Linked DNA regions of Oryzias latipes. The protein of the gene in region 2 interacts with the protein of the main gene of each other region in a pairwise test. Links are inferred from orthologs where the notes say so. Each region holds a gene or a part of one and is shown on either strand. Other genes may lie near its edges. The genes, in order: creb5, kinesin-like protein KIFC3, c11h1orf109, bysl, psmb1, mid2 and tfip11.

Region 1 (3,180 bases), about 560 kb from region 2:
GACCCAACTCCCAATGTTAAAGTGCCTAGGATAGCACAAGGGTTAAATAAAACACATTTGCAGTTGTGTGTTTAAGAAAAAAAGGGTTTTTGGTGTAAAGTTCTCTTTCTCCACACACGTGGAACTTTCTTCCCCTGAAAGGTGAATATGAAGTTCTAAAGGACCTGTTGGAGTGAGCATGCATGGGTTGACATCCCCTAACTTAAGCATCCTGGAGCTGATGCCTGTTCTAATCTGATGGAAAATCTAAATATGAGCACATCTCTTCATCTGAGTGCAGCGGCCACTTTGCATCTATCTGGACTCAAGAACAACATGTGTGTGCTGCAAATTTAACTCCAATGTTATTTCATCGGGCCTCTATCAAGCTGTCTAGACACATCAATAATTAATGAGCATTCTAAACCTTTAAAGCATAAGTATTTTATGAGGGGATATTTTTCAAGGCTGAGCATCAACAAAGGTTTGGTTTAAACTGCGTTTTTCCTTTGGCAGAAGTCAATTTAGAGCAAATAATTGTCTTTAAAAGAGAAAAAAATACAGTCATTTTACAGAACAAGTGCTTTATTTTTTTATATCATAATGTAACAGCAACAATATGCTTAGACGCCTGTACAAATGTCAAATAAAATGTAACCATGTAATAAACGACACGCCAAAAAACAAACAAAAAAATGTACAAAGTGATGCAGGCATTGATGTTCATTATATAACAAGTGCTGGAGCAAGCCTTGAAATACAACAAAAGGCAACAAGTGCGAAAAGAACATTATTTACAAACGTACCACACATTCATACGCCCTTTGAATAGAAAGGTGGTTGCGTTACATATCCAGGATTATAGAAAATGAACAATATTATGTACAATATTTAAAATTATACATTTAAAACATCCGTGGGGAGAAAGAGTTTTGTTCTCCAGCGCACAGAATACTCTCACACGCACATTCATGCTGCACATCTGACTTTTCAAAGATCTTTTCTCCAAACCAAGATCCCCTGTCAATACATTTTACTCTGTTTTTATTCATTCCAGTTGAACATACTTTTTAGATTGTTGATCCATTTTCACATGCAAAGGATTTGGAGAAACTTAATGTACAAAGGGTGGTTTGACGGCCAGATATAAGGCAAGGTTCAGTACTTAAGGTTGGTGCAACAAAGCCCTTTTTTTCATGAGAATTTAAGTCCAACATTAGAAAAAAAAAAGACATAAAAGATACAAATGCACTCAAAAAGGGAATGGAAATATAAACTTTCACTGTCTTCATCTTTGAGAAGAAAAACAACAACGAGAGCACAAATGAAATGATGCTTGGTCCTTAACTAGAGCCTTGCAATGTAACCCTCCTGGTTTCAACGTGATGCAAGCCAGGCACAGTCTCTTCATAAAGCCAAACACAGTGAGGTCTGTTGCTGGTGTGTGTAGACAGGGGATCACTGAGAATTACTCTGACCTTAATATGGCTATTCTACCCTCTGGCACGACAGAGGACAAAGTGCATAGACAGCGCTGCGATTACTCCACCTGTCAGTGGAGTGGATCTCCATCGTCTTACTGTAAAACACAGTGCACTGTGGTCTTCATGCTAATGAACTGACATTCCTGGGAAAGAACAAGGAGCTGCGGTCAAGATGAGAAGATTAGGTTTCAAGGTCAGATGTGTATTCATCTGGGAATCAGAGGAATTTTGGCCTTATAGTAAATGCATTAAGACATGAATGAACAAACAAACCAAGAGATTCTTGAAATTGCAATTGTTGCCGCCTGCAATAAGCCCACAGTTATTTGAATAAAGATTTGAGGCACGTTGTGACATCTTGGAAACCATGCCAAGGATTGTTCCCTTCAAGGTTGCCAGTCCCCCCCCCCCCTCAACGGGGAAAGAAAACGCTACAAGTCGTCACTTTTTCGCACAGCGCGGCCGCTGAACTTTGCTCTGCAGACAAAAGAAGGAAAACACAAATGTACGAAATATCCACATGCAAAACGGTGCTGAAGCACACAATTATCGCTATTTAATTTGAAGTCTTCATTTTAAAAAGTTAAATAAACATTAAAAAGTGGACCAGAAGGGATGCCACACACACTCTAAAGCTTTGCCTGGTCCTGAGCTGCCTCACCGCTATCACAGTGATTATTACATGATCATTCAAGAGAAAATGATCGATACTGTAGTTTATTCTCTGACTTGATCATATGGCTACATCACTATCATGTCGTATTCCGTGCTCTCCATAAGTCCCATTCTTATGAAAACTATGCTGATGAGAGAATATTAACAGTCCCTTTATTTCCAACAAAACAAACAAATATTATACCTGCTTGCATATTTCTGTCTTTTTGGACATCATGGTGACCGCATGACTCGGTTTCTTTACGTAATGTGCAGCAAATGCTCAGCACTCTGTCCACATGTGAAACAGACAACATTTGGTTTACTTTTCAGTCCATCTGCCAAGTGAAACAATCGTTCGTAGCAATGACAGTCAGATAATGCTCATGTGTCCTTTTTAAAAAAAAAAAAAAAATTTAAACCACTATGGTCAGTTTAGTACCGTTACACTACAGAAAACCATTGAAACGGTGCATGATATGAGCAAAATTAACCTTTCAGCGAGCGCAAAAGAAGCAGGTAAAAAAGCAAGAGCATCGAACATTTATGCGTTAATAGGTCTATAAAAATATACTTTAGCTACTGTATAAAGAACAGCCTCACAGGCCTTTGAGGTTTTTATATTTATTTTTTCTTTGAGGGGTGGGGGCAGCGTGTGCAGCTGGTAACCCTCAAAATGCAGAGGTTGTGGTGGGTGGGGGTTCGGGGCTGTAGCTGAGGTTTTAGACTTGTTCCTAGTGGATAGGATTAATGTCTGTGTGATGGTTGGCCTGCCCGTGCACACTGCTGCCCCCTACAGTCGTTGTAGAGGTTGTTATGGTGTTGTGCTGGATGACCTGCTGCTGCTGTTTGCATGCTGGAGCTGGGCTGCCTGCTGGACTGCTCTCTGGACCTGAGGACACAGCAGAGACAACGCGGATCAGGTTTAGATGTAGGAAAAGCCTTTAATTAGGGCACAGACACAAGTGTGCACCTCAAACCCTGAAATGTCTTTACTTTGCTAAAAACAGTCATTTTGGGACAAAATCAAGGTATTTTGACTTTTTGTTTTAAACCTGAGCAG
Region 2 (3,155 bases):
GAAATAGCTTCAAACTCCCTAGAGTGGAAAAACGTTAGGAAACGGAGATGATGACCTAATTTGAAGGTATTCGAGAATTAAAGAAGTATTTGTTCATTAATATCCATTAGTTGTCAATTAATGTGTTTGCAAACAAATATAAACAGAAGACATCATTTATTTTGAAAATCTTTGCTGTTTTTGCATCATTTTCTTTGTGGACTCAGGTCATGGTAAAAAAAAAAACCCTGAAAAGTCTCAACTTGCGCGTAAACAGTTAAACATTTGAGCTTGTTTTCTGAAAAAAACAAATGTAGGTGATCGTCTCCGAGGCAGCGAGGAGGAACTGGCTGGAGCGGTGGGAGCAGTCGGACTGGAGGAGGGGGACTCGGAGTGAAAATGGGACGTTTACAGAGACAGAGGGCGTCCTCAGAGGAAGCAGCAGCTGCTTTCATGCAGGAAGTTCCTGTCAGGATTCGCCACAAGTCAAGAGTTATTATATAGAAATAAGGTGTTCTGTATATTTGTGTGTTACTGCAATCAGTTCTGTTATCATTTTTTAACATTTAAAGTAAAAATTGTTTTTTCAGACTTGTGTTGTTTTACTGAAAACTATCGGGATATTTTGGCCAAAAGAAGTATCAATGAAAAGCAAAATTTAGTTGCCATCTTTTTTTCTTTTTTTTTTTAATCAGTGAATATTCAGACAAAAAGCACTTTTCAAAACCCATATTTATTGATAAAATTACCTGAAGATTCACTATTATCTTTAGTGACTCTAAGCACTCAAGTTAGTTGATGCGACATCAACGTGTTGCTACATTATAGTCAAAACTGTCTTTAAAGCGCTGATAAATCAATGAACAAAATAGAACCCATAAACAGTATTTGGTATGAACTTCACTAGTGAACTCTATTACAAGCATTTGAGCTGAAATGGTACGTTCCTTTTACAATAAAGTGCCTCTTCAGTGAAAACTCCCCTCATCTTGAAGGAGCGTACTGCACAGCTCGGGACATAAAGGCCACCCGCTCCTTCCACAACAGATTCCTGCCACAAAAGGCAAACGCTCTAAAGAGAAAAAGGCTGCAAAAATCTGACATAAATTAGCAGCTTGTACTTCAGCTACTCCCACACACTACAACCTTTGGATATACATCACTTTTGGGATGAAGATTACAAACTACAGACATTTACAACAGGATGAGTAACTCAGCATGAACTGAAGTGTTGATATCCTGATGAGAATTTCTCTGTTCATTAGCCAGACTGGAAGAAGAACGAGGCCATTGGAAGATACCAACTCCTCCATGCAGACTGAGGAAAGATTAAGAATTATGGCGACAGAAGTGGATGATTATGATGGAGTTTTGTGTTCGGGTGTCAGCAACAGCTGCACATTTAGCCCTTGATCAGGATTGCTGCAGAGCTTTGAGGGTTATTCTAGTATTGGAACTGGCTGGTCGGTTGGATGATGATCAGGCAGACTCCAGATGATTCAGTCACACTGTCCCACACCAGATTCAATCTTCCTGGCTGCAGGACCTAGTTCCACCTTGCACACCCTCTGAGCAAACTTTAGAGAGCACAGTGTTTCTCCGACGTTACTCTCCAGAGCAGAAACCTTGGTAAACAAAAAACATCCGGCTCAGTAATTTGCGTTTAATGAACCAAAGTTCATAAAGGGCTGGAGAAGTAATCTCACCTGGACCACCATGACCGTTTTGCTGCCTTTGCCCAGGGAGTCTTGCAATAAGTAGGTGAGGCGAGAGTTCCTGAAGGGGACGTGAGTCTGTCGAGCACGGAGAGCCTGAATGACATCCCCCAAAGCCAGCAGTGAGCGGTTGATATTTTGGGCTTCTTTCAGCCTTTCTCCCTCGGCCCCAGATTTCCACACCCTCTCCGAGCCTGCCAGGTCCACCAGGTTCAATTTGCCTGCAGACAAGAGCGGACTCAGTCACAGACAGTTGTTGCTAGCCTCCTCTCCTGTTTTCCTTCCTATTTCCCAGTGATACCTATGAGGTACAAGTCTGACATTGGTGCTCTGTTTCCAAAATAAGAAAAAGCGAGGGAGACTGACCGGTGGTTTTGGAGCCTGTGGCGAGGTCAGTGCCCTGAACAGTGATGCAGAGCAGAGCATGGGAGCGAGAGCTGTGCTGGTTCATCTGAGTGCCGAAGGTGATCCTGTTTCGTCGAGCTGTGGCTAAAATCTTCATGGGCATAAAATCAGTGAGCAGGAATTAAGTCTGCATCCTTTTTTCACTGTTTAAACTGATGATTAAAAAAACTCTGATACCTTTTTGATGTGCTGAAAACTATTGACCTCTATAACTCTGAGGCCAGGCACATGCAGCTGTCCTGTTCCATCGGGGTTGATCTTTATGTCCAGTTTCTCTCCATCCTTACTTAGCAGGTCTCTAAAATAGGAACAAGAAGAACACAATTTGTTGGCAACCCTGAAAAAAAACACCAGCTTTATGCAAAAGCAGCTAAAGTACCTCAACACCTCGTTGTAGATCTCCACAGAGCTGACGGAGACATTGTAAGACCACATGTCCTTCCTCTCCTCGATCTCATGAAAGAGATGTTTCAGAGCTCGCTGGTTAATTCCAGGGTTTTCCACGGTGCCCTGAAATGCAGTGCTTCAATACGTAAAAAAGATGTATACACGAACATTTCAAATACAGATAAAAAAAATCATAACAACTCCATTTGTCAATCATTACATTAAATGCATTTAGTGTTTCATGTCTGTGTACTGTGTTTAGAAGTGCAAATATGTCTATTTATGATTAGGAGTAGTTATGTCAAGAAGACAGTCTCAGCTTTATTAAATATCTTTATTTCCCAATCAATTAATTATGTCATATTTTAACAAGGTTGGATACATCAATGTTTTTGGTTCTTTTATTACTTGGTTATTATTACTTGAAATAATCCAACAAACCAACCACTAAATAAAATGCACTGTTAAGCATGGCAACTCCAAAAGGTAATATTCATTTTTACAACAACAACAAAAAAGAAAAATTCTATGTGCAAAATGGAATCTATTTAGATTTTATTGTGATAAAATGGGATTAAATGATTATGCTTGCCTCACTCAAACCTAAAAAAAATACAATAACCTTTTCATTGGAAGTTCTTTTCTCCGTAATATTCATTTGTCCATGAT
Region 3 (4,196 bases), on a different chromosome or scaffold from region 2:
TGAAGTGTCTTCAAATCCCTCGTCTTCCTCTCCGTGTCTGCATCATTGACTTCTGTCCTGCTCAGAAGGTTCTGGTTCCAGTTCTGCTCCTCCGTCTTCACTCCAGCTCCAGGAAAAATGACACTCTGCAAAGTGTTTCTGCAGGAGACAAGAGTCCCACATCTCAGAGTTGGCGGAGCTCGCGTTTCAAGCTTCGGACAGTTAATGTTACCTGTGATTCGCTGCTCGCCGTCAGGAGACTCCAGGGACTTCCACCTCTCAGGAAGGGATTCCAGCAGAGCGAGGTCGTTGGGTCTGAGCGTTTGCAGCAGAACTTTCCTCTGCAGGAATCTGAACATGAGCTCAGGAGAGCAGAAGACAGAAACAAAAAAACAGACTGCTGGCTCTACCATTCCCCGCCCTCGCCGCCAACTTTTGTTTTGCCCTGGAGGGCATGATCATAATCATAATTTTAAAGTTTTCTATGGATATCCTCCGTTTTGGCTTTGATTGAAGGATTTGAAATATATTTTTTGAACCCCATTAGAGATCTTTGCCCCATTCATTTTTGTGATGGTTTCTCCCACTGGAATGTTTATTTTATTTTATTTGTTAGTTTGTTTGTTTGTGTGTGTAGGGGGTGGACTATGTCAAGCCTTCCTATGCAGCGGGTACCGGGTCTGTGCAGATCTTGGTAAATATTTTAGCATTTGCCGTTTCGCTCTCAGAAAAAAAGAATTGCAAAAACAATCCGGTCCTTGCCGTCCATGAATGCTGCGGACCGTACCAACAGCACAGACAGGAAGGATACTGCTGCCTGTAGTGGCGCTCGGCGTCCTGAAGCCACTCCAGCATGTCTGCGACTGACGGGGTGACGGCGGAGCGCTCTGTGACGGCCTGCAGGTCCAAACTGGTGGCGTTCTGCTCATACAGCTGCATGACGGACCTCACCTGGTTACTGATGGCGTCTCTGGCAGACTGCAGACGACACCTGAGAAGGAAAGGAGTCTGTCTTAGTCCTCGGACAAGGAAGCCCTTGAAGACTGATAAAAATCATGTTTTTATCTGTTTTGACAAGTTTTTGCGGCCTTTTTCTGATGATCGAGGACATACATAAAGAAAAGTATGCTTAAAATTGGCAATCTGAAAATGTCTTTATTCAAATTGCTGTGAATGAGGAGCAGAAGAAAAAACCATGATGTCCCTGAATGCATCAGCACTGTCTCTGCTATGGACACACCTGGCATATGACACGGTATAACGGGGTGGGATTATATACGTTCGCTTCCTTCCACTCCCTTTCAAGCAATATTTATTAATATGTCTAAATATCCTAAGTTTGATTCGTCATTGTATGAATGTATAACTGATGATTGTATTGTTGTTGTGTATTGTTCTTATTTGATTGGTTGAAATAAACCATTTAAAAAAAAAAAGAAAAAAAAAGACACGCGTTCCAGAACATGTTAACCCATAGTGTTCACACAGTGCTAGTGGGTTGGGGCTTCTCCTTCTTCTACAATTGACCATGACTTGTCTTCCACCTACAGTTGGCAGAGTCTTGGTGCGAAATGTCAAAGTGGTGCAAATCTCTTGTATATCTGACTCCAGGCTTTTTCTTTTCGCATCTCTAGTCCAATATATGAAAGATTTAGTGTCATATATTCCGACTGGAATCAAATCAAAATCATTAATTTGTCCTCCATGGTCAACTTTCAAACGGTTGGTGTTTCCGTAAATTTAAAGGGGTGCCATCCATGCGTCACTACCAAATCTGAGTCCCTAATTGGTCAAAGTTCGACCTGGTTTAACTTTTAAGGTACATTTAATAGATGCACTTTTTGTACATACAGAGCTCAGAAATTATCGTAGAAACTTCAAGAGTTTAAACCAAAATGCAAATTTACATTTTTTTTATTGGTGGTTTCTTGAACGCGCATCGCTGAGGGCGGTGTGAACGTAGCTTAATGATGGTTCTAGTTTCTGGTAAAGGTCTTATGTGGCTTATTTTGATTTGGGGTTTTATCTTTAATATTTTCTTTAAACGGAAATTGTAATATATGGTTTGGTGCTAGTATCTGTACTACAGGAGCTCTTATTTTGAAACAAACTTTTTTTATGCTGTCACAAAAAACAGAGCTAATAGTCTTTTCAACGTCACAGGAGTCCCTGTGATGACGTCATCCGAGAGGCGCGTGTGTGTGGAGTTGTCGCGTGTCTCACATCTTCTCGTTGAGTTTCTCCAGCACCGTGTCCGCGGCCTCCTGCAGTTTGAAGCGCAGCCGCTCCTCCAGCTTCGGGAAGGTTCCGAGCGGCGTGCTGGAGACCCGCACGTTAGAGAGAGCTCTCATCTGCTCCGCTAGGTTCCCCAGAGACCCCAGGAGAGGGCTGCACTCCGCTAGCTCGCTCCCCCACAGCCGCTGGTTGCTCTCCAGCGCGGCGAAGCTGTTCCTGAACGCCTGGTGGAGGGCGCTGAGCGTCGGTCGGGAGATGTCAGACATGCCCTCGGCCTCCGCTCTGGCTTGGATGGGACTGTAAATATAGTTCTGACCAAGTCTGAAAGCCTCAGCAAAATTCTGCACTACTTTTCTGCGCAGAACCAGAAAGCGCTTCCGGTGTCAAGTAGTGACATATGCTGCCTTTACTGATCCTTGGAGATACGGTGCCCCATAAATACAGTAGCTCCTCAAAAAAGGCACTTGATTTCGGAAAATTGTATTTTTTCGTGCTCTCCTTTTTAAATCTACATACACACATACATACATTTTATTGATATATTTTCCCACTGGTTTTGTTAATGCTTCTGGACTTTTTGAGAACTTTTTTTTATATTTATAATCACAGGCATGTCTGTAGGAAGTTGCTATTTATCTTGGTTAAATTGGGTAAATTGTAATTGTGAGTTAAAAAAACTTTTTACTTGGTGACTATTTTTAGTATTTCCTGCCCTTCAGCTGTTTTACAAAAATGCTTTTTTTGATTCTTACTGAAACGCTTTCCATCAGGGGACGATTCATTTTTTCCCGAGTTGTCTTCGAACGCAGCATTGAACATTCGCAGTGCCGAACCCTGATGACGGGGCTCAATCCACGTCCTGATTGGCTGGATTTGTGTCTTGGCTCCGCCTCGCGCGGACATTTGAAAACGACTTCGCGAAGAAGGCAGGCCAGAGGGAAACCCACACAACTGTTACCTTTGTAAGAAAACCCGCTTCAAACTCAGACGAATTGAATCTAAAAACATTTATATCATAAGTGAGACCAAAGAATGAAAACGGGAGTAAATTAATCTGCCGGATAAACTCCTGCCGATTCCAAAGCTAACAACATAGCTGCTAACGTCCTCGGCGGCTTATTTTTTTCCATCTCGAAAACAACGTTTCACAGTTTTCTCCTGTTTGTGAAGTTCTGAGCGGACATGGCGCCCAGGAAAAGGACCACGAAGCAGCGAAAGAACAACCAGAAAATTGAAAAACTGGAAGTTTTTTTGGAGGATTTCGACAGCGAAGGTAAACGACAATGCTAGTTCGGCTTAAGTAAAGGCTCGGCCTACAGTTTGTTGTCTGAAATAAAGTGTTCTGAAACCCAACAAACCGAACCTGTTCAACCTTTGTCAGTAACAGCTGAAAGAGCTGACCAGGTTGGGGATATATATATATATATATATATATATATATATATATATATATATATATATATATATATATATATATATATATATATATATATATGCCAGCTCTTACCAGCTAATTCAGAATTGACAAAGCCTCTTGGATAAGGGGTGAAACATCTTCTAACTTTAAAAACTAAGTCTAGATGACAGCCCCTAAACCTACTACTATGATGGAATCAACCTGGATGAATGAGTCTTCAAGACAATCCAAAGAAAACAAAAAATAACTTCATTTAGCTGTTATAATTTGTTATTATCATTTGGAAATTGCAGGTTTTTTTTCATGAAAGACCCTACAAGAGTTCCTCTCCTTATATGTGCAATTTCATGCACTAATAAAAAAATGTGCTCAAAAACTAGTTAGAATTTGTTTGTAAATTTACTGATCGCTTATTTCCTGTTTGTGTTTTTTGTTTTGTTGCTAAAAAGATAATTATACGTAAAAAAGGAAGTTCTGCTCCTTCGAAATGATGCAATAAACCGGATCATAAAGAAGTGGATGGAAAAAGTGCTATAAAAAAACAATCTAAATTTTGATATCAAAA
Region 4 (4,380 bases), on a different chromosome or scaffold from region 2:
GGAACGCTGGTGCCAAGAAAAGACTGCATGAACTCCTTCATGAGGTTCCAGCAGTCCCCAGGAACCACACAGGGGCAGTACTCCACCTGCAGTAAAACACACAGGGCACATCATGTCCACCCGTCCCGCTGAAAGGGACAAACTGCATTTCCATACCTCCACTGAAATGCCTCTGGCGCTGGAGCTCATCGTCACAGTGCCCACCTTTATCAAAAAGTCACAGTATCGGTAGCGGGAGCCTCGACTCTCCACCTTGTGTCCCTTGGCGTTCTGGAAATGACTTTTTAACTTGGACATGAGGACGTCAAAGTTAGCATCAGCTACTAAGTAGGGTCCTCCTTCGAATAGGGCCATGCAGCTCAGAGGGGTTTCAGAGTTATGCATCACGTATAAGAGCTTGGAGGGCTGACCTGTGACAGACGGGAAACACTGGATGATGCATTCAACTCAATAATACATAAACTCCACATCCATGATTCAAATAAAGGCACATCTGTTATTGATGTAAAAAAGGTTTTTAAAGTCTAAAACCTTAAACAATATTTGGTTTTATAGTAAGGCTTTGAGATGGTTTCTACCATAAAAGGCCAGAGCCATTAAAGTGCAGCTGAAGGGGTGATCTGTCGTCACACTCCAGTAGAACTAATAGGACCCTTATCTAATTTGTAAAATATTCTCAAGATAATTTGACAAACACACATAAGATAAAGTGGCTATGTATGCTTAATTGTGTCCCATATTTACTGCAGATGTGTCTGAAGGAAGAATTAGCAAAAGCCCTGAATGTTCTTGTTAAAAATGCTACCAATTAAATGCAAGGGCACAAACGGAGCTCATATGCCAATCACCTTTTTTTAATTGCTTTTTAAAGGTCTAAGCAACCACAACTAATTACCACATGAATAAATAACTACTAATATGTTTCCCGCGTGATGCTTGAAAAAGTAGCGAGCTTACCGACAACGTTTCCCGTGGCGTGGTATGTCTCACAATCCACGCAGAAGCTGCCTTGTTTCACAGAACCGAGCTGCTCCAGCTTTTTTTGCAGGACGTCCACGGTCTGCTGCACACTCTTGCCCTCCGCTATGGGCACCTGACAAACACTGAAAGACAAAACACCCGACTGAGCAGCGACAACCCAACGCATCCATGAAGGGGAGGAGCACGCTTTCCCCAAAAGAACAAACATTTGAAATAGACAGGTCCTATAAACATAGCGAAACCAAACTATGTTGAAATAATAATTACACTTTAATGAGCCAAAATATTCCTTACCAAGTTACTCCCATTTTTGTTTTGCCTCCTTCGCAACTACTTCCGGTTAAACAAATTGACTTCCGGTAAAGGAAAAAATAAAATAAAAATACAAGTGAACATAGACGAATTGAGTTAAACTGATTAACTCAGTTAATAAACATAGGTTCTTTCATATATAATGTTTCGAAACATTTTTAATGAAACCGGATGTGACGTAATGTATTTCCGCTGCCTCTGTCGCGCATGCCGTTTGTCCGCACGTGCTAAACAGCTGGGTGTTTACACACTAAAAAGGCATAGACAGGCTTTAGCTTGTAAATTTTTTTGGAGCTGTAGCGATGCCGAAAGTGAAGAAATCTAAAGGTGGAGGAGAAAAGAGCTCTGGATCCGTGGCGCTGGCTGACCAGATCCTGCAGACGGACACGGTCCGAGCCCGCAACCGGGTTAAGAGCAGAGACCAGCGGCCAGAAAGCGACGACACCTACGTAGACGAGCGGCTGTCGCGGAAAATCCTACAGCAAGCCCGAATTCAGCAAGAGGAGCTTCAGACCGAATATGGGCTGGTACCGGAGAAGAAGAAGGCGACACCGGTCACTGTTCTTGGTAATGTTGGATCAGAACCAGGACATCCGCTTCAGTTTAGAAAATGATCAAACAGAAGCCGTTGATTAAGGTTTCTAAAGGTTCTCTCTTGTTCTAGTTTTTCTTACCGAAGAAAACGATGACCAACTTTAGTAAAGTTGCATCACAGATTCATCACAATTCAGACCCATCTACCCTTAACAAAGACAAGTACACTTGAAGTTTACTTAAGGATACTTGAGTAATAAGTGTGTAGTAGTGTACAAGTATAGACCATGTACGTGTAGTGTAGGACATATAGTAACTGAATACTTTTTCAGACTTTTATTGGAAAATTTTAAATGTATATAAAAAGAAAATTCTAGTTTACTGCTTTACTTTTAGTATAGACAGTATACTTGTAGTTTACTTAAATAGACTACTTTTTGCTAAGGGATGCACTAATGCTATGACTTAAAAATAAAGTTAACTGTTCACTAATGATGGTTTTAGTAAACACTCCAAATTAAAATACTTTCAGTAAATAAATACTTAAAAATAGAAGTAATAATGTTTTCATTTACTCGTTTCTGTAGTTAGTTGGGTGATTCCATACATCTAGATCTGCATCTTTTCATTATGTGAGTTCTAAACACTCCTGTAACTGTAGGTCCTGAATCTGGGGATGCAGACTCGGATGAAGAGTGGCCCGCACTGGGAGAAGCAGTTTCTGGGGCGGCAGAAACCGAATGTGATGCTGAAATTATTGTAGACCCAGAAGACGAAAAGGCCATTGAGATGTTCATGAATAAAAACCCACCAATGAGGCAAGAAACATGGCAGTTCTGACTAACCAACAACAACAAACAGAAACCACCAGGCCAGTTTCTTCTGTCCCTACTAACATGTTTCTCTTTCTCGTAGGAGGACCCTGGCAGACATAATCATGGAGAAAATCACTGAGAAGCAGACCGAAGTGGGGACGGTGATGTCGGAGGTGTCAGGGCGCCCCATGCCTCAGCTGGACCCCAGAATTACAGAGGTTTATAGAGGTGTGGGAAAGGTGAGCTTTCTTATATTATTGAAGACATAAGCCGCGGTTACATGCGCAAAATATCTGGATCGGATTAAAATCCAACCGTGTACATGGGATCAGAAAACCTTTTTCCGATTAGAACAAACGTTCACATGGGTCACACTTTCGGTTGGAATAAATCATTTGAGCATGAGCAGTAGTGTTGAAAATACCGAAAGAGGAAATGGGTCCCACAGTAAACAAACCGAGCTGCCACATACATTCATGCAGCAGCTCGGTAATATACAAGACGATCTTCTAAACGTGCTTTTATCAATGTTATGAATATTATGAAGCGCCTGTTCGCTCATCATTTTAATTTTAATCCGTGTGGTCAGTGCTTTTTTTTGTGGAAGAACCCTGGAGAGGCTAACACACGCGCTAACAACATTAGCCTTTTTTGATGAACACAAACACTCCCCTCAAACACAAAGTTATGAATCCGGCTGCTCTGCTCAGAGACACAGTTCGCTCCGTCCACCGGCACCCGAGCCCGGACCACGCAGGGTCCAGACGTCACGGGGCACGAAGCGCTCCCCCTCGCAGCCCCCTCGTGAGGGGTGTAAGAGAGGGGAGAGGTGAAGAGCCAGCAGGGCGAGAGCAGAGCGGCGGTTCTCACCGGTCCTCCGCAGAGCAGCCGGTTGGTCCTGTTTGCGCTCCAAAGCTTTCTCTGGAGCGATACACCGTCTATGCGTGACGTTAAACCAGAGCAGTAGTGACACGATCGGAATGAACTGTTTACATGTAACACGATTGGATCAACAATCGGCATAACCCACCTATCTCGATCGGAAAGACATTTTGATCCAAACGAGTCTGATCAGGGCAGAGTATTCTGAACGGTGTGTTTACATGACACATTTTCCTTCCGATTCAGGTGTTCTTTCCAATTACTTTTGCCCATGTAAACACAGCTACTATAACACGGTGTTGTACAGTCTGATGGCTGTGGGGAGGAATGACCTGCGGTAGCGCTCCTTCTTACACTGAGGGTGCAACAGTCTGATGCTGAAGGAGCTGGTCAGCGCTTCTACAGTTTGGTGCAGGGGGTGGGAGGGGTTATCCATGATGGATGTTAGCTTAGCTTAACAAACACAGCCCACAATGGCACTGTCCTCTGAGAACTTCTGCAGGTGACAGTGGTGGGAGTTGTAGGTGAAGTCCGATGTGTACAGGGTGAACAGGTGTGGGGAGAGCACAGTCCCTTGAGGTGCCCCCGTGCTGCAGACCACCACATCAGACACACAGCCTCACAAACTGTGGTCTGTTTGTGAGGTAGTTGATGGTCCAAGCAACCAGATGTTGGTCCACACCTGCAACCTCCAGCTTCCTCCTCAGCAGTGATGGCTGGATGGTGTTGAAAGCACTGGAGAAATCAAAAAAACATGACTCTCACAGGGCTCCCAGGGGACTCCAGGTGAGAGGGTTAGGTGCTGCAGGTAGATGATGGCGTCATCCACCCCAATGCCTGGTCGATATGCAAACTG
Region 5 (4,317 bases), on a different chromosome or scaffold from region 2:
TGACAACATTCACACAATTTTTAAAAAAGTGGCAGCATTTTGTCTTTAAGTGTGAAATGAATGGTGTCTACACGAAGTGGGGCAAGAGGTCTTAGCAGAACATCAGCTTTCTGTTCATTCGAAACGGTTCAAGCTCCCACTAAACTTTTGTATAAATAAGTTATATTATATTTCCTACTACATTCTATGATACAGTACTTACTGTTTTGAACTCCAGAGAATATTTTTGTGTCCCAGGATTTTGCTAATGTAGTGTTGAATGTTGTAAACACGGATATAGCTTTTACTGCCAGACTTCTGCAGTTTTCTGTATTTTGTGTCAGAAAAATCTTCTAAAAGCAAACTCTTGATTGTTTTGCTGTGCTCCAGTTTTAATGCTAAGATGAAATAACGACACATTTTTTTATTCTTAATATTTATTAAGAATGTAAAAAGAAGAGCAGAGAATGTTTAACTTCAAAAGATAGAAAATCAGAACAAAAGCAGGGTCTAGGGAGGTGGATTCTTAGAACAGGAGTGCTGATCTATGATGAAGCTCTTTGACCAAACTAGCAATAATGCGGCAAGAACAGAAAATAAAGAATAAAGTGAAAACATGTCTGTTATGATGCCAAATAAGAGTTCACCTTTGGATCAACACTCCTATGCTTAGAAATCTGATAGGAAGGGGTCAGAATAGCAGAATATACGCTGAACCCACAGACCAAAAAAAAAAACTTGTTTTTTTCTTAGTCCTTCCTGAGTGGTATATTTTGCTCTTCAATTCCTTCCTTAGTGACAATGCAAATTCGAAGTGCGTCTCCTGTGTAGACATCTCTTTCAGCAGCTGAAACGAAGACGTCCTTGACCAGCTGAACGGCCTTGTCCTTAGTCAGAGGAACATGCTCCACACCCTCCATGTTCTTGAAACCGATCTGTGGAAAGATAAGTTTAAAAAAAGACTCTGTCCACAATAATTAGGATGTATTAATGTGTGTGATGTTTACCTGGTTGTCTAATAATGGCTGCAGCATTGCACTAGCTGATCCCCCAGCCTTGTAGGTGTCCCTCTGATAGGACCCCACTGGGTCAAAGCTGTAAACTGCTCCTTTACCTACATTACAAATGATCAATATTCTTAATGAATAAACAATTTAAAACAACAGGAGAAAAAGCAGCTTAGGTATAACAAATGTGCTACAGCCAATGATAATGATATGGTGGTTTAGAAATGTATAACATCCTATTTTAACAAGTATATTTGCCCAAAAAACTCCACTAAATATAATTGCGATGCAATACAACCACCGACCTTGTTCATCTAGCCCCCCAATGATGTTGTAGACATAGTATGGGAAGAATCTCCTGCTGTACAGGATAGTGGACAACATGGCTGCAATGGCTCCACTGGTCATAGTCTTGTTGTTTGAATGTTTGTACATCTAAGAAGGGAGAGAAAACAACATTTCTATTTTTTGTAGCAGCAAGTGACAAAAACACTGTAATTTGTACAGCTAATTTGGGGCTGATCCCAATACATTTCACTGAAATGTCTGATTTGTGTTTTAAGAGTGCACGGTAAAATAAGCAAACAAACCTAGAATTACACATTTTATTTTTGTATGTTTAATAACAATAATTTCTGAATTTTTTTAATCTGTAGGGTCATTAAAGAGAAATTAAAGTTTATCATTTACAGTTTTTCCTTATGCATGTATCCAGAACCTTTTCAGCTTTTTAAATGGGTCTCAGGAGATTATGTGATAAAGGACAAGTATTGTGGCATCTCATCAAAAAGTATTAAACCCAGAACTCTGTCCTACCTTAAGCCTGGCATCAATGATTTTTGTCAGTGTCAGGCAGTCACCATGGAAACCGCTGCAGCCAAGGACAGTTGTGTCTGTCCTTTAATTAAAAGAGAGAAGAAAAAACAACATTTTATAATGTAGAGCAAATCTTTTGCATAAAAAAAATGTTGTTTGCCGATTGTCTGAATCTAAAAGCTGCTTCTGCAGAAGCCCAATATTCTCAAAATTGCATGAATAAAATTAGAAACTTTCAATTAAAATTTCACAAATATAACACCACAAAAAGACGAGATTAACAAGTATTTAAAGGGTCACCACTTCTGTTATCTGCCTCTACAGAGAAGCACAGTGAAACGACAGAATACTTACAGCTTGTAGCATTTCGGCGAGTCCCGGCTGTGGATGGAGTAGCCTTCACTCAGCCTGGTGTCTGAAGCAACAATTGCAAAGTCTTCCCCAGCAACAGCTAGCACAGTTCTAAAGAGATGTTAAACAAAGATACATGGGTTCATTTTTTTTTAAACCCCTGATAGAGCAGGTCAACTGTGAAAACAAACTTGTCCTAAACATAATGCTAACTGAGGCCAAGAAGACCGAAAGCGAAACTTTCAACTTAAACCCAATTTACTTTTTAAATGTTAACTTCAATAAGATAATGCAATTACTTGTTCAACAGCAAGTCTGGTATAATGTACTCAGAGTGGCCTAACGTTTAATATAGTTTTTTTTTTTTTTAGACAGAGCTGGTTTGCTAGGAATGGCTTTAGCACGGCTAGCTAGTCTACCACCGCAATGCAAGATGATCAAAATAAAACTAACCCTCCATTGAAGGCGTATGGTGAAAACCGATGTTCCGTGGGTCCCGCATAATGGTATTCTTTCATCTTTCCAGATTCTCCAAAATTCTGAGCTGAAAGCATTTTTAAACCAAGATAGCCAACAGATTGGAGATTTCAGCCGGGCAAACTCGCTGTATCACTGCAATATGGCAGACTCTTCTTCGCCGGTAAATGAGTGACCACATATGGTGTGCGCGACAGCGCCTCTACAGGCGCATAGATGTAACATCAGAACAGGCTCTATATTTAAAATGTTGCCTGCACAAGTCGTTTGATTATTTATTTTTCAAAATACAATAAATGGACTAATTTTATATAACAATATACAAGTACATATATGTAACAAACTGTATTGTACACTGCATCTTATTTATTAACACACAAACATTTCTGAAAAGTTTGTTTTTGATTAAAAGAAAGTCAGATAAATCTGATACAGATAATTTATTTATATTTTAATTTTGTCAGCTGAGACTTGAAAACAGAAACCAAGCAAAACAGTTGGTCCAAAGAACAATCACATTTTTTATATAGAACACTTATGTCACTATATGATTTGCTATAGGAATCCAGAAGTGTAATAGATATTAATTACATGGCCATTGCTTTTACAAAATCATAAAATCACAAACAACTATATTTCCTCACTAAATTGTCAAAATTGTGATTTTATCTAATACACAAGACACAAAAAGCCTTTTAAAGGAAACTTTTATTCTAAAAAAAAAGAAGAAAAAAAGAAAAACAAACCAAAAACACTGCAGTGAATAAACATTAGTTGAAATTCTCATTTTGTAACTCATTAATTCCAGGATGATGCAAAAGAAATAAATTAAAAAAGAAATATAAAAAATACCTACAGATTCAGTCTTAGAGTACTTTTTTTAAGTTCGATTTTTTTGTAAAACTACGAAAAACAAAAACCACAGAAAATTCACTTCGAAAACCAAGAAACTTAAGCAGACAGACAGAACACATAGTTTTTCCTTGTTCACTTAAAATAGGCGTACAGGATCAGAGAACCCATTTATTTAATGCAAATTTCACAGAATTTGAACAAAAATGATCATACATTACGAAACCCACAAGCGTACAAAAAGTTGTTCGACCAAAGCCCTGTTTTAAACTAACTATCAGTAGTACGTAATGAAGAGCACCATTTGCTGACCTGAAATAAAGTTCCCAAAGAAATGCTTGGAACCCCACAGGGTAACTTATTGGTTTTCTGCAGTAAAATTGACTCAAAGGTGTATGGTATAGTAAAAAAACAACACTGTTTGTACGTCGACATCACAGAGAAACAAGCAAGTAAGTATTTGGCTTTTTTTTTTTTAAAGAAAATTTGTTGATTTTAAATCATAATTCCTGCTTTAGTCATATAAAAGAATGAAAGTGTGGACACAAGATCTAGAATTTGTAATTATTTTACATTGTTATGTTTTCTTTTGTCAAACTGAATGCTTAATTGTAATCTTACTTCAACAACAGTCTTGGAATAAATAAATGACTAAATCATAACTTTTTGGCTGACTTGGACTTTTTAGGTGTTTTGCCCCCTCCTTTCTTCTTGGGTGTAAAACCCTGGTCGCAAACTTCACACACCCAAAGACCTGGAAAAACAAAAAAAAGTATTAAACAATAAAAGAAAACAAAGAGATAATAAAAAATAAATGCGTTTCCCCTCTCCCTTT
Region 6 (4,457 bases), on a different chromosome or scaffold from region 2:
AAATTAAAGATTGGGCCACTGGTCATTAAAGTCTTGTTGTTCAGAAGAAGTTTTCACCACCCTGCTGTAAGCACCTTCAGTTATATAACCTCCATTGTCATAATAAGTTGCCATTATATTTTTTCCCATTTTTCCAGAGAAGGATTAGCCAGTTTAACATTTGTTTTTTTTCACATACCATTCATCACAAGCAAAATGAACAACATATTAATATTTAGAAATTATAAAAATACAGTTTGAATTAATATGTAAACCAACCTGTGTGTTAGACTATAAAACAAAGCATTAATGTGTCTAGATGGAAGGTAGCCGGTGTTAGAGGATGCAGACAGGGTTAGATGGAGGAAGCTTATTCGCTGTGGCGACCCCTGAAGGGAAGGAAAAGAAGAAGAATTTGGATGGGATTTTAAAAAAACAAATTGTCCACCCAAAGCTCTTGTGGTCTAGAGAAATATTTCATGAGGATGTTTTTCATATTCTGACACAGCTTTGATGTTAGTCACACTGCAGGATGGTTTACTGCTCTATAAGAGCAGCTCCACATAAATAGATGCAGTATTACAAAATATTTATTTGTGAGTTTGTGGTTTTGCACAATTTGCACACTTTTATTCAACCTTAAATAAGGGATTGAAAAACTCAATGCATGTTTTGTGTCACAAAAGCTGAGGAGTCCCTGTAAAGCTTCTAATGTTGAGCAAGTCATACTGACAGGCTCCAAATGCTCTGCCCTGGAGTATTTTATAGCTTCATTTTGTGTGTTTATATGTTTACATAAAAAGTTTGCAGGTTACGGAAAAAAATATAAAACAATGGACAATACAGGCTTGTGCTGTTTGCAGCCCTTCAGGCTAATTGCAGTTCTGAAATGCAGTATAACTGTTTTACAGAGAAGGCCTGTGAGACAAAGAAAACTGTATTTTGGCTTGCTTGTGGGGATAAAGTTGCAAGGTTGGCAAGTCTCCCCTGCTAATCCTGTGGCCTCCAGCATGTTGCAAAGATAGTCTGTCCCAAATACATGCAGTAGGTCAGTTTAACATACATTTCTGCTCAGATATTTTGCGGTCTCTGACAATAAATCTGGAGGGAAAATTTGATGTTTCTTTCTTTTTTTTTAAATTATTGCATAAGCAAAAGGTAAATTTTTACCTTTTTAAAAAAGTATTGGAAAATAAAATATTTTGTGAAATTGCTCTTGTAGTATAATTGGTCTCCAGTTGGGAGTTATTTTTACTAAGTGGGCATTGTCTGTGTCATGGCAAGATTGTAATTCATTTTTAATAACGACCATGTGTTTTTTTTTTTAATCCACAATTTGAATAAAATAAATAAATGGGTTAAAAATAAAAGGACATATTTTTAGTATCTATAGTTCTTTGGAAATCTATAAAGACTGCACTGTTGAAAGTGAACAGAAATGACAGCGACGCCGTGAGGCCACGCGGGAGGAGAGCGCGGGTGGAGCAAAAGAGACGTTGTGCGCACAGCTCGGGGTTTTCACAGTGGAGCAGTGGAGTAACCGATCCCAGATGCTGCCGTGAGGGATCGAGAGCTATTCCCGTATCCCTGTGGGTTGCCCACGTGACTCCTCGGGGATTGTTTGGTGTGGGGACCACGTCAGGCGGCAGGGAGAGCGCGCAACGTTGCGCGCAACTGAGTTGGAAAGCAGCACCCAGAAGAGGAAGACGCGCTCTCGCTCCTCCGGCGGCTCGTCATCCAGATGTGTTTTGGGGCGTTGACTCTCGTCTCTCACCCACTCTGATGCTCAGTCGCACCTTTGTCCAAACTTTCCGTCCAGGATCTGTGATCTTCTCCAACTGTTCTTCCACGAGGGTCCATCCAGAGCTGTCACGGGGGGCGGAGGTAAGCTGCGCGTCTTTGTTGTGTTTATTTTTGGTGGAGTAGCCTCAGGACAACGTGCGCTGAAGGATAAGCGCTGACTGAAGCATCCGTCAATGCGCGAAGGGCGCGTTCTGTTCTAATGACCCACATCCATGGAGGAGGGGGGGGGGGGGCAGAATGAAAAACAAGCAGAGCATGACTGACCATCTCATTCTGTTTTAAATGAGGTGTGCCACTTTTACACCACAAGCATTTTTTTTTTGGAGAGTCAGGAAACTGTTTCTACAAGATTTTGTGGGCATTATTTTGAGTTTCTTTTATGCACATTTCATGCACACCACACGTATCCTCTGTGGTATTGCATAGCATTTCAGGAACCAAGGCAGCCACCATAACTGACACCTGATCCGGGAGCCTGATGTCAGTGAGACGCTTTGTTTGAAGAACACTCAAAAAAGCTGGGAATAGCTCCTGGAGTGTGACATGAATACATTTCACAATAGATTACAACTCAGTTAAAAACTGAAATTAATTACCATAATTTTTAGAGTCACATTTTTTGTTATTGACACAATTTTTGTTATGGTTTGGCAAAGGGTGCTACTTATATCAACCTTTTCCTCTTTATTAGGCATTTTTTGGCTGCTGTGACTTAAACTGTGAAAAATGTAGTAAAGTACGTTTTTTGTTTTGTTTTCTCATTCCTAGTGACATTAGGGAGAAAGTGGCACAGCGGCAGAGTGTAAAATGTCAATGGGCAGCAACTGATCAATAATGAATGAGTCAAAACAATGCAGGGCAGGGAAAGAGGGGTCAACTGTCACGAAGTGCTGCTTGTCCCTTTTTTCACCAAGGCTACCCATTGATTCAATAGAAACCAATACATTAGTGACACAATAAAACCAAGTGCTGTGTCTGTTGCTGGGGAATTCAGCGGCACATTTGATGAAGTGGTGTTTCACAGTCTTTTAAAGTGATTTATGGTCCCCTGCACTCTTTTCTTGCTCTGTGGTTAATGCACGATCAAAGTGGCTAATGAGGCAGGTCTCAGTGGATGGGGGCTCGACACCCAAATGCAGTCGAGCTAGTCGTGAGAGTATAGCTGACACCCTCATTCATCATGGTTCTACAGGCCTGCTCTTTCCAATTTATCTGCTTTTTTTTCCTTCCCCCTTTACGCTCTTAGATGGTAATTATTATGATGTTTTAATGATGACAACAGTAGTCACTTTTTTGTGACAGGGACAGGGGTGTCTGTCAGTTGACACGCAACTAGAATTTTGCAGCTGCAGAGGATTCCATGAATAGAACTGAGAGGTACATGTTAGACTGTGTGTCTTAGCTGGCATTGCTCACACAGAACCAAAAAAGAAAAAAAGAAAAAATTTAATTCTTAAGGAAAAAACAAGTCTTCAAAAAGTACTGTTTTTTTTCTGACTATAAGACGCTCCAGGGTACATGCCACAGCAGCCAAAAAGTGCCTAGAAAAAAAGAAACGATCATATATAAGTCACACTTTTGAGAGAATTTAATTAAACAAAATACAGAAAAGGGATCTTAATCTTGAAAGGCAAATCCTATTTGCAGCAAAATTTCACTGTACTTGTACAATGACAATAAAGCTATAACTTTGATGACTTCTTTTCAATTTTTATAATGGAATGGATAACAGTAATAGTCAAAATATCTGTACACTTCACTACCATAATACATTGATTCCTATTTAGCTTCATGAAACATAGGAGTAGTTTAGAATAGCCCAACATATGAACAATTATTCAGATAACCATATCATAAAGAACATGCTAACAAGTCATTTAAACTCTTTATATTACTTCAAATGACTAAATCCGTTCAATTCTTCATCCTCTGTTTCACTTTGGAACAATTCTGCTTAGCCCGGCGTAAGACTGAATGACTCTTCTTCCTCTCTGATGTTGTCAGTAGCAAATACTGATACACACACCTACAGTGCCTTCTAGCTGTTGTGCATTTTTTCTTTTTTTTAAAAACACATATAAGTCACAACTGAGTATACTTTGCACCCCCGCCCAAATACATGCAAAAAAAATGCGATTTATACTCCAAAAATAGGGTATATGTATTATTTATTTTTTAAGATTAAAAAGAAAGAAAAAATTAACTTGTATAGTTGCTAAACTAACTCTTATCACCTTAAATGCCCAATATGATCTTCAGTGGCTATCATTTTGCTATTAATTTTTAATGTTTCAAGCTTTAAATAATGTAAAATGTTCTGGGTAATAATAAAAGCTGTGTTTAGCTGAAAGAGAGCTCAGTCTGTTGTTGATACACAAGAGTGTCATCAGCATAGAAATAGAAATGTTATTTGACTTTTAGTCCTTTTTTTTAATTATAATTTGTGTTTTTAAAACTCACACATAAGAACCTGGATCAATTTTTTCATCAAGTAACTGAAAGTTTCAAATATGCTTCAAAGAAATTCTAAAAAAGTTTTTAGTAAGTTTGAGTCATGGCATCTCAACGTAAAATCTTCTTCCTTTCACCACTCATGCTAGTGGCTTGACTGGTCTGACTACTTTCTTTTCCTTTCCTTTCCTTTTTTTTTAACCTCTTTTCTATAACCTTTTGAA
Region 7 (4,483 bases), on a different chromosome or scaffold from region 2:
ACATGTAAAAGTGAGTATTTTAAACAGACCTGTGGTAAGGATCCATGTTGGAGTCTGGGCCACTGGAACGAAGATCCCTGGATTCAAGGATTGCTCTCCACTGACCAATGTCTTCCAGACAGTATGCACTGTCCTACAACAAAAAACAGTCTTAACTCTAGTATCTTAATTGAGCAACATGTTGAAAATAAGGTGTTTGTTTTCCCCCCCACAGAAATAAAAGCGTAATAATTTAATTAGAATAATTAAAAAAAAAAAACCTTTAGAGGCTCCCATGAGTGAAGTTTCTCCTTAAGTAAAGGATGAACAACTGCCACAGCCAGGTCTGCCAATCCCATCATTTTATACTCTTCATAATAATCTGTTTGTAAAGTCTCAAAGATCTGGGCACACTCCTGGGCACAGAGAGGTGAGAAAATAAACAAATAAGTATGTTCAAAATGATTAAATGTTAGAAGAATGGAGATTAAAAACCATTAGGAACAAATAAACTGCAAGATAAGTACATCTAGTTTGGGTATTTTCATGTGCCACGTACCTGAAGAGTCGGTCCCTCCCCTGGTGGCGTCTCTCCAGAGGGAAAACGCTCCACCAGTGCCAAAACAGCCTCCATTTTCTGGATGGCATCTTGCTCTGCTTCTAGTCTGCTCTGCAACGCACGGGACTCATGACTCAGAGAAACGACCACGTCCTTTTCATGCTGTAGACGTCTGGCCGACTACAAAAGAATAAATAAAGAGAGCAGAAGAAAAAAATTAAATCTGGAAGCCCACTTGAAACGGGTTAATAGTTGAAAATGATTTGAAAGAATTTCAGATTTTCCTCTGACCTGTAAAATGTCCTGTTCTGTGAGGTCGATCAGCAGCTGAAGATTATGCTCAAGCTCAGGGAGAGCGAAGCCGGAACCCTTCTGATCCCGTGTGGACATGGCTGGTGGGGTTTCATCGGGAACACTGTGTTTGTTGGCTATCTGACTGTAACTGTAGTAAACCTTTGGCTCTCTTACAGTCATATCTATAACCTAAATTTGAAGAGAGATAAAAACAATTAATAAAAAGAAAACTTGAATCATTTTACTTCCATGGCCATAAAAATCTTTCAATTTATTTCAGTTTTATGCTGAAAGGAGGAAATGTAAAAAAAAAAAAAAAAACAAGTAGATGCTTGTGAAGCTCTTTAAAATATTAAAGTTTGTGGTTTTTTTCATTGTTCTGACCCGAAATTAAAAGGACATAACGCAGGATTTTAACGCACCTTAACCTGCGCCAACTCTCCTGCAGATGCTGCCATGTTCCGAGAAACCATTTTGCCTTTAGCCCTCAGCTCATCTGCAGTTCTGTATGAGTATTTTGGTTTCTTCTTGACTGCGGAGCCCGCAGGATCCTTTCGCCACTGACCCAATTCTTTTTGAAACTCCTACAACAACACACATTACAGGAGAAAAACAAGAAGATAATTTCACAGTTAGCCCTCAATTCTTCAGATACACAATCACTGTGAAAACAAGATTATATGGAGTAAAGAACTGCTCGTGGCAAAATCTCACCTTTTCCTCCTCTTCTTCAGAGTCAACCACAGGGAAGTCCTGCAGACTCTGCTGGGTTCTCTCATTGCCATATGCACCTACAGCTCCTTTACCTTTACGGACCTTTGCCTCAATAGGGTTTACAATACCTACATAAACAAAACAGAGGCATGGCAATAAAATCTCTATTATTTTCCCTCTGAAATGCATGCAAAAGCACAATCGTGTACAGTACTTTTCCTCCTTTACGCTGCCTACCTTGAGCATTTTTTCCAAGCCCCTTTCCAGGCTGGTAACCCATTTTCTGCAGAAGCTTCTGTCCAATTCCTTTTGTGTGCTTCTCCCAGGTTCCAATACCCTGTCCAGATTGTATTCCACCAGCAAACCTCTGGGACTGATTCCCACGAAAATTACTCTGACAAAACAAAGAAATTATAGACGTCAGTTTAAAAAGAAAGCTTTTTTAGATAAAATATGTTCTTAAGCGAAACTTTACCATCTGAAGTTTTCTAGGTGCAATTCCACGAGTAGGAGGGGGAACTGCAGGGGCATCCTCTTCCGAATCATCAGAACCTTCTTCTTTGTCTTGCTGTTTCTCCTCGGCTGCAGTTTTACGTAGACCGGCACTAACAAAATTCACTGGGGTGCTGTAATCTTTCGACCTAAAGAAAATGTACACTGTTAACATCCTCTGCAAAAATTTTCACATTTAGACATCAGAGCATCAAACCTGTGAATTACCTCTTGCCACCAAAGCTGGGTCTCTCATCTTCATCTGAATCTTTGTCAGCCCAGATCCCATAAGTGGCCTGCTCCTTGGTCTGCCTAAACCTGCGGCGTTCTGGGTTAAACTCATTGGCCAGATCCCAGTCTGTCACCTCGAAGCTTTCGATCTCCACACCTTCTTCCTCTTCTTCCCTCCGCCCGTAAAGATGGGACATCGACATTTCTAGATAGAGACCCAATACAAAAAAAAATCATAAAAGCCATACAATTGAAAAACATTCAAGTTGCTTAAAAAATCGTACAACAGCATGAAACCACAGTCAGCAATGATTGCTAACGCTAGCTAAGCACGAAGCTAGCCACAAAACTGTTTCGGTCACAAACAATTATCAACATAAATATCAACTGTATTGCACATTTGTATGATTGAAAGCGTAAAAATACATTAAGAAGTTTCAAGCAAAAAGGTATTAACTAACAGAACTCAGATATTAATAATGCAAATGATGAGATTTTTTAGCGAAATCTAGCTAACGATAGTTGGGACATTAAATCCCATTACGACTGCAGAAACATTTCGAACTTGGAAAGTAGAAAGGCACTTAATACAAACAAAGCTTACTTGACAAGAAATAGTTTATACACTTAGAGATTAATTAAAACTCATTCTTGGCTGTCTGTAGCAAGAAGAGGTTATCTGTGTAGCTTTTCGTTCAACGCACGAACGTGGAAATACTTCCGGGTAAAGTCTGTCCGTCAGTACTGACGAATAAATGTTGTGACCTTAAAACTTTGAGATTTTACTTATTTTTATTTGTTTGCATTTACTAAAGATTTGTGTTGGTTTTTATATAAATTTCTCTAAGTTAAAACAGCAACACCACACATTTAGGTTAATAAATTATGTGATAAAAGCTTTTATTTTGGCGTTACACCGGAAGACAAATGTGTTACACTTAAAACCGTCCTACGCGCTGCTGATTTTGTGGCGGAGGTGATTAGGGTGTTTGTTTTTTAATTATTATCACTGTTTTTTTTTCACCCCTAACATTTTATTATAGATCGTTGAATGATGGGAATGAGATAAAAAAAATGTCTGAAAGTGAGTGGCAGGTCGCTCGGCGTCGAAAAGGGCAAACAAGGAAGTTTAAATCTCATGTGCCTTTAAGTTCCACCAGCGTCCAAGAAGACCAGCTTGATGTCGAGAAAGTTGTCAGACGGATCAGGACCACTGTGTAAGAAATAAAATAAAAAAAACGGAAAACCACTCATAAACATAGTTCATTGTGCCTTATCGAGGGGAAAACTAATTCTGATATCTCATTCTTTACTCTCTGTCTCATAGGACTGAGTTGAGATGCGAAGAGTTTTGGCACAAATGGAAAGGTAAGTAAAACATAACCAAATTTTTTAGACATGTTTTTTTTATTTAGTGTGTAATTGAATTGTAACTCTTATGTTCCTCGTCCTCAGATGAGCTGCTGATGGCATCCACAGCATCAGCATCTGCAGAGAAGGACGTCACTGAGGAGCATCTGAAGAACACAGGTGATCAGCTGGAGTGTGTGTGTTATGGCCTTGGCTCCTTTTCTTCTTGCACTGCAGCCCGGTATCAGCTTGCCATGCTGCTTCTGCTGCTGGAAGTATTACAGGTCAGAAGAGAGCATTAGACTATGTTCTAACAAACATGTGTTATGTTTGTTTTGAGTTGCTCATTTAGTTTTTTTTCTCCTAAAGGTTTCCTTAAGGGATTGCTTGGTTTATGATCCCATATTCTCCTCTGGAGAGCAGGATGTCTTGAGGGAGCTGGGAATGACTGTACTCACAGAAAACGAGGTCATGTCAATTGTTTTTCTTTTTGCACTTCTAGAGAACAAACTGCTGATGTTATCACCGTAACTGAGATCTAAACAGACTAAAGTATCCGCTGTTTTATTTAGGAGGGGAAGCGTCTGGTGACCAAGCCCACTCTTTTTTATCTCATGCACTGTGGGAAGGCTCTGTACAACAACCTACTGTGGAAAAACTGGAGCTTACGGGGATTATACCAGCTTGTAATCATTGGAAACAGCTTCAATGGTATGAGGGAAAGGTTCGTAGAAAACACTGATGATGGAGCGCATCGTTTTTAGCAAACAGAGATGAAATAATGTCCTCTGTCTGTTGCAGAACGGTGGAAAGAGTGTTCAAACAGGAATACAGCTACATCAGTAAAGCTGTGGACCTCTGTGA

What was found.
Region 1: the proteins of kinesin-like protein KIFC3 (region 2) and creb5 interact in binary tests that used the Homo sapiens proteins (3 or more experiments, as listed by UniProt). The two-hybrid records come from large-scale screens. The link is inferred for Oryzias latipes from reciprocal best matches to the Homo sapiens genes KIFC3 and CREB5.
Region 3: the proteins of kinesin-like protein KIFC3 (region 2) and c11h1orf109 interact in binary tests that used the Homo sapiens proteins (3 or more experiments, as listed by UniProt). The two-hybrid records come from large-scale screens. The link is inferred for Oryzias latipes from reciprocal best matches to the Homo sapiens genes KIFC3 and AIRIM.
Region 4: the proteins of kinesin-like protein KIFC3 (region 2) and bysl interact in binary tests that used the Homo sapiens proteins (3 or more experiments, as listed by UniProt). The link is inferred for Oryzias latipes from reciprocal best matches to the Homo sapiens genes KIFC3 and BYSL.
Region 5: the proteins of kinesin-like protein KIFC3 (region 2) and psmb1 interact in binary tests that used the Homo sapiens proteins (3 or more experiments, as listed by UniProt). The two-hybrid records come from large-scale screens. The link is inferred for Oryzias latipes from reciprocal best matches to the Homo sapiens genes KIFC3 and PSMB1.
Region 6: the proteins of kinesin-like protein KIFC3 (region 2) and mid2 interact in binary tests that used the Homo sapiens proteins (3 or more experiments, as listed by UniProt). The two-hybrid records come from large-scale screens. The link is inferred for Oryzias latipes from reciprocal best matches to the Homo sapiens genes KIFC3 and MID2.
Region 7: the proteins of kinesin-like protein KIFC3 (region 2) and tfip11 interact in binary tests that used the Homo sapiens proteins (3 or more experiments, as listed by UniProt). The link is inferred for Oryzias latipes from reciprocal best matches to the Homo sapiens genes KIFC3 and TFIP11.

Annotation. Positions count from the first base shown.
Region 1 is NC_019874.2:16,139,037-16,142,216, forward strand, and holds the end of creb5 (cyclic AMP-responsive element-binding protein 5), read right to left. Parts: intron 3,010-3,180; coding exon 2,852-3,009; 3' UTR 2,409-2,851; coding exon of another isoform or gene 2,379-2,408; 3' UTR 547-2,378; downstream 1-546. UniProt on the Homo sapiens protein: Binds to the cAMP response element and activates transcription.
Region 2 is NC_019874.2:16,696,122-16,699,276, reverse strand, and holds the end of kinesin-like protein KIFC3, read right to left. Parts: intron 2,610-3,155; coding exon 2,479-2,609; intron 2,398-2,478; coding exon 2,277-2,397; intron 2,191-2,276; coding exon 2,061-2,190; intron 1,916-2,060; coding exon 1,686-1,915; intron 1,605-1,685; coding exon 1,479-1,604; 3' UTR 670-1,478; downstream 1-669. Other genes in the region: ccdc12 (coiled-coil domain-containing protein 12), read left to right, coding at 297-376. UniProt on the Homo sapiens protein: Minus-end microtubule-dependent motor protein. Involved in apically targeted transport. Required for zonula adherens maintenance.
Region 3 is NC_019869.2:20,075,707-20,079,902, forward strand, and holds the start of c11h1orf109 (uncharacterized protein C1orf109 homolog), read right to left. Parts: upstream 2,900-4,196; 5' UTR 2,481-2,899; coding exon 2,203-2,480; intron 971-2,202; coding exon 791-970; intron 331-790; coding exon 212-330; intron 139-211; coding exon 98-138; 3' UTR 1-97. Other genes in the region: cdca8 (borealin), read left to right, coding at 3,397-3,487. UniProt on the Homo sapiens protein: Part of the 55LCC heterohexameric ATPase complex which is chromatin-associated and promotes replisome proteostasis to maintain replication fork progression and genome stability.
Region 4 is NC_019863.2:2,276,590-2,280,969, reverse strand, and holds the start of bysl (bystin), read left to right. Parts: upstream 1-1,486; 5' UTR 1,487-1,595; coding exon 1,596-1,860; intron 1,861-2,488; coding exon 2,489-2,645; intron 2,646-2,742; coding exon 2,743-2,881; intron 2,882-4,380. Other genes in the region: med20 (mediator of RNA polymerase II transcription subunit 20), read right to left, coding at 1-86, 157-410, 958-1,103, 1,276-1,289. UniProt on the Homo sapiens protein: Required for processing of 20S pre-rRNA precursor and biogenesis of 40S ribosomal subunits. May be required for trophinin-dependent regulation of cell adhesion during implantation of human embryos.
Region 5 is NC_019861.2:24,487,444-24,491,760, forward strand, and holds psmb1 (proteasome subunit beta type-1), read right to left. Parts: upstream 2,801-4,317; 5' UTR 2,708-2,800; coding exon 2,607-2,707; intron 2,265-2,606; coding exon 2,157-2,264; intron 1,885-2,156; coding exon 1,803-1,884; intron 1,422-1,802; coding exon 1,292-1,421; intron 1,094-1,291; coding exon 987-1,093; intron 915-986; coding exon 729-914; 3' UTR 399-728; downstream 1-398. Other genes in the region: phf10 (PHD finger protein 10), read right to left, coding at 4,139-4,236. UniProt on the Homo sapiens protein: Non-catalytic component of the 20S core proteasome complex involved in the proteolytic degradation of most intracellular proteins. This complex plays numerous essential roles within the cell by associating with different regulatory particles.
Region 6 is NC_019868.2:12,829,844-12,834,300, reverse strand, and holds the start of mid2 (probable E3 ubiquitin-protein ligase MID2), read left to right. Parts: upstream 1-1,489; 5' UTR 1,490-1,863; intron 1,864-4,457. UniProt on the Homo sapiens protein: E3 ubiquitin ligase that plays a role in microtubule stabilization. Mediates the 'Lys-48'-linked polyubiquitination of LRRK2 to drive its localization to microtubules and its proteasomal degradation in neurons.
Region 7 is NC_019867.2:13,548,546-13,553,028, reverse strand, and holds the start of tfip11 (tuftelin-interacting protein 11), read right to left. Parts: upstream 3,003-4,483; 5' UTR 2,874-3,002; intron 2,475-2,873; 5' UTR 2,473-2,474; coding exon 2,267-2,472; intron 2,188-2,266; coding exon 2,022-2,187; intron 1,941-2,021; coding exon 1,784-1,940; intron 1,675-1,783; coding exon 1,547-1,674; intron 1,417-1,546; coding exon 1,255-1,416; intron 1,022-1,254; coding exon 830-1,021; intron 719-829; coding exon 539-718; intron 396-538; coding exon 261-395; intron 134-260; coding exon 30-133; intron 1-29. Other genes in the region: srrd (SRR1-like protein), read left to right, coding at 3,344-3,486, 3,597-3,637, 3,725-3,903, 3,989-4,087, 4,192-4,343, 4,421-4,483. UniProt on the Homo sapiens protein: Involved in pre-mRNA splicing, specifically in spliceosome disassembly during late-stage splicing events. Intron turnover seems to proceed through reactions in two lariat-intron associated complexes termed Intron Large (IL) and Intron Small (IS).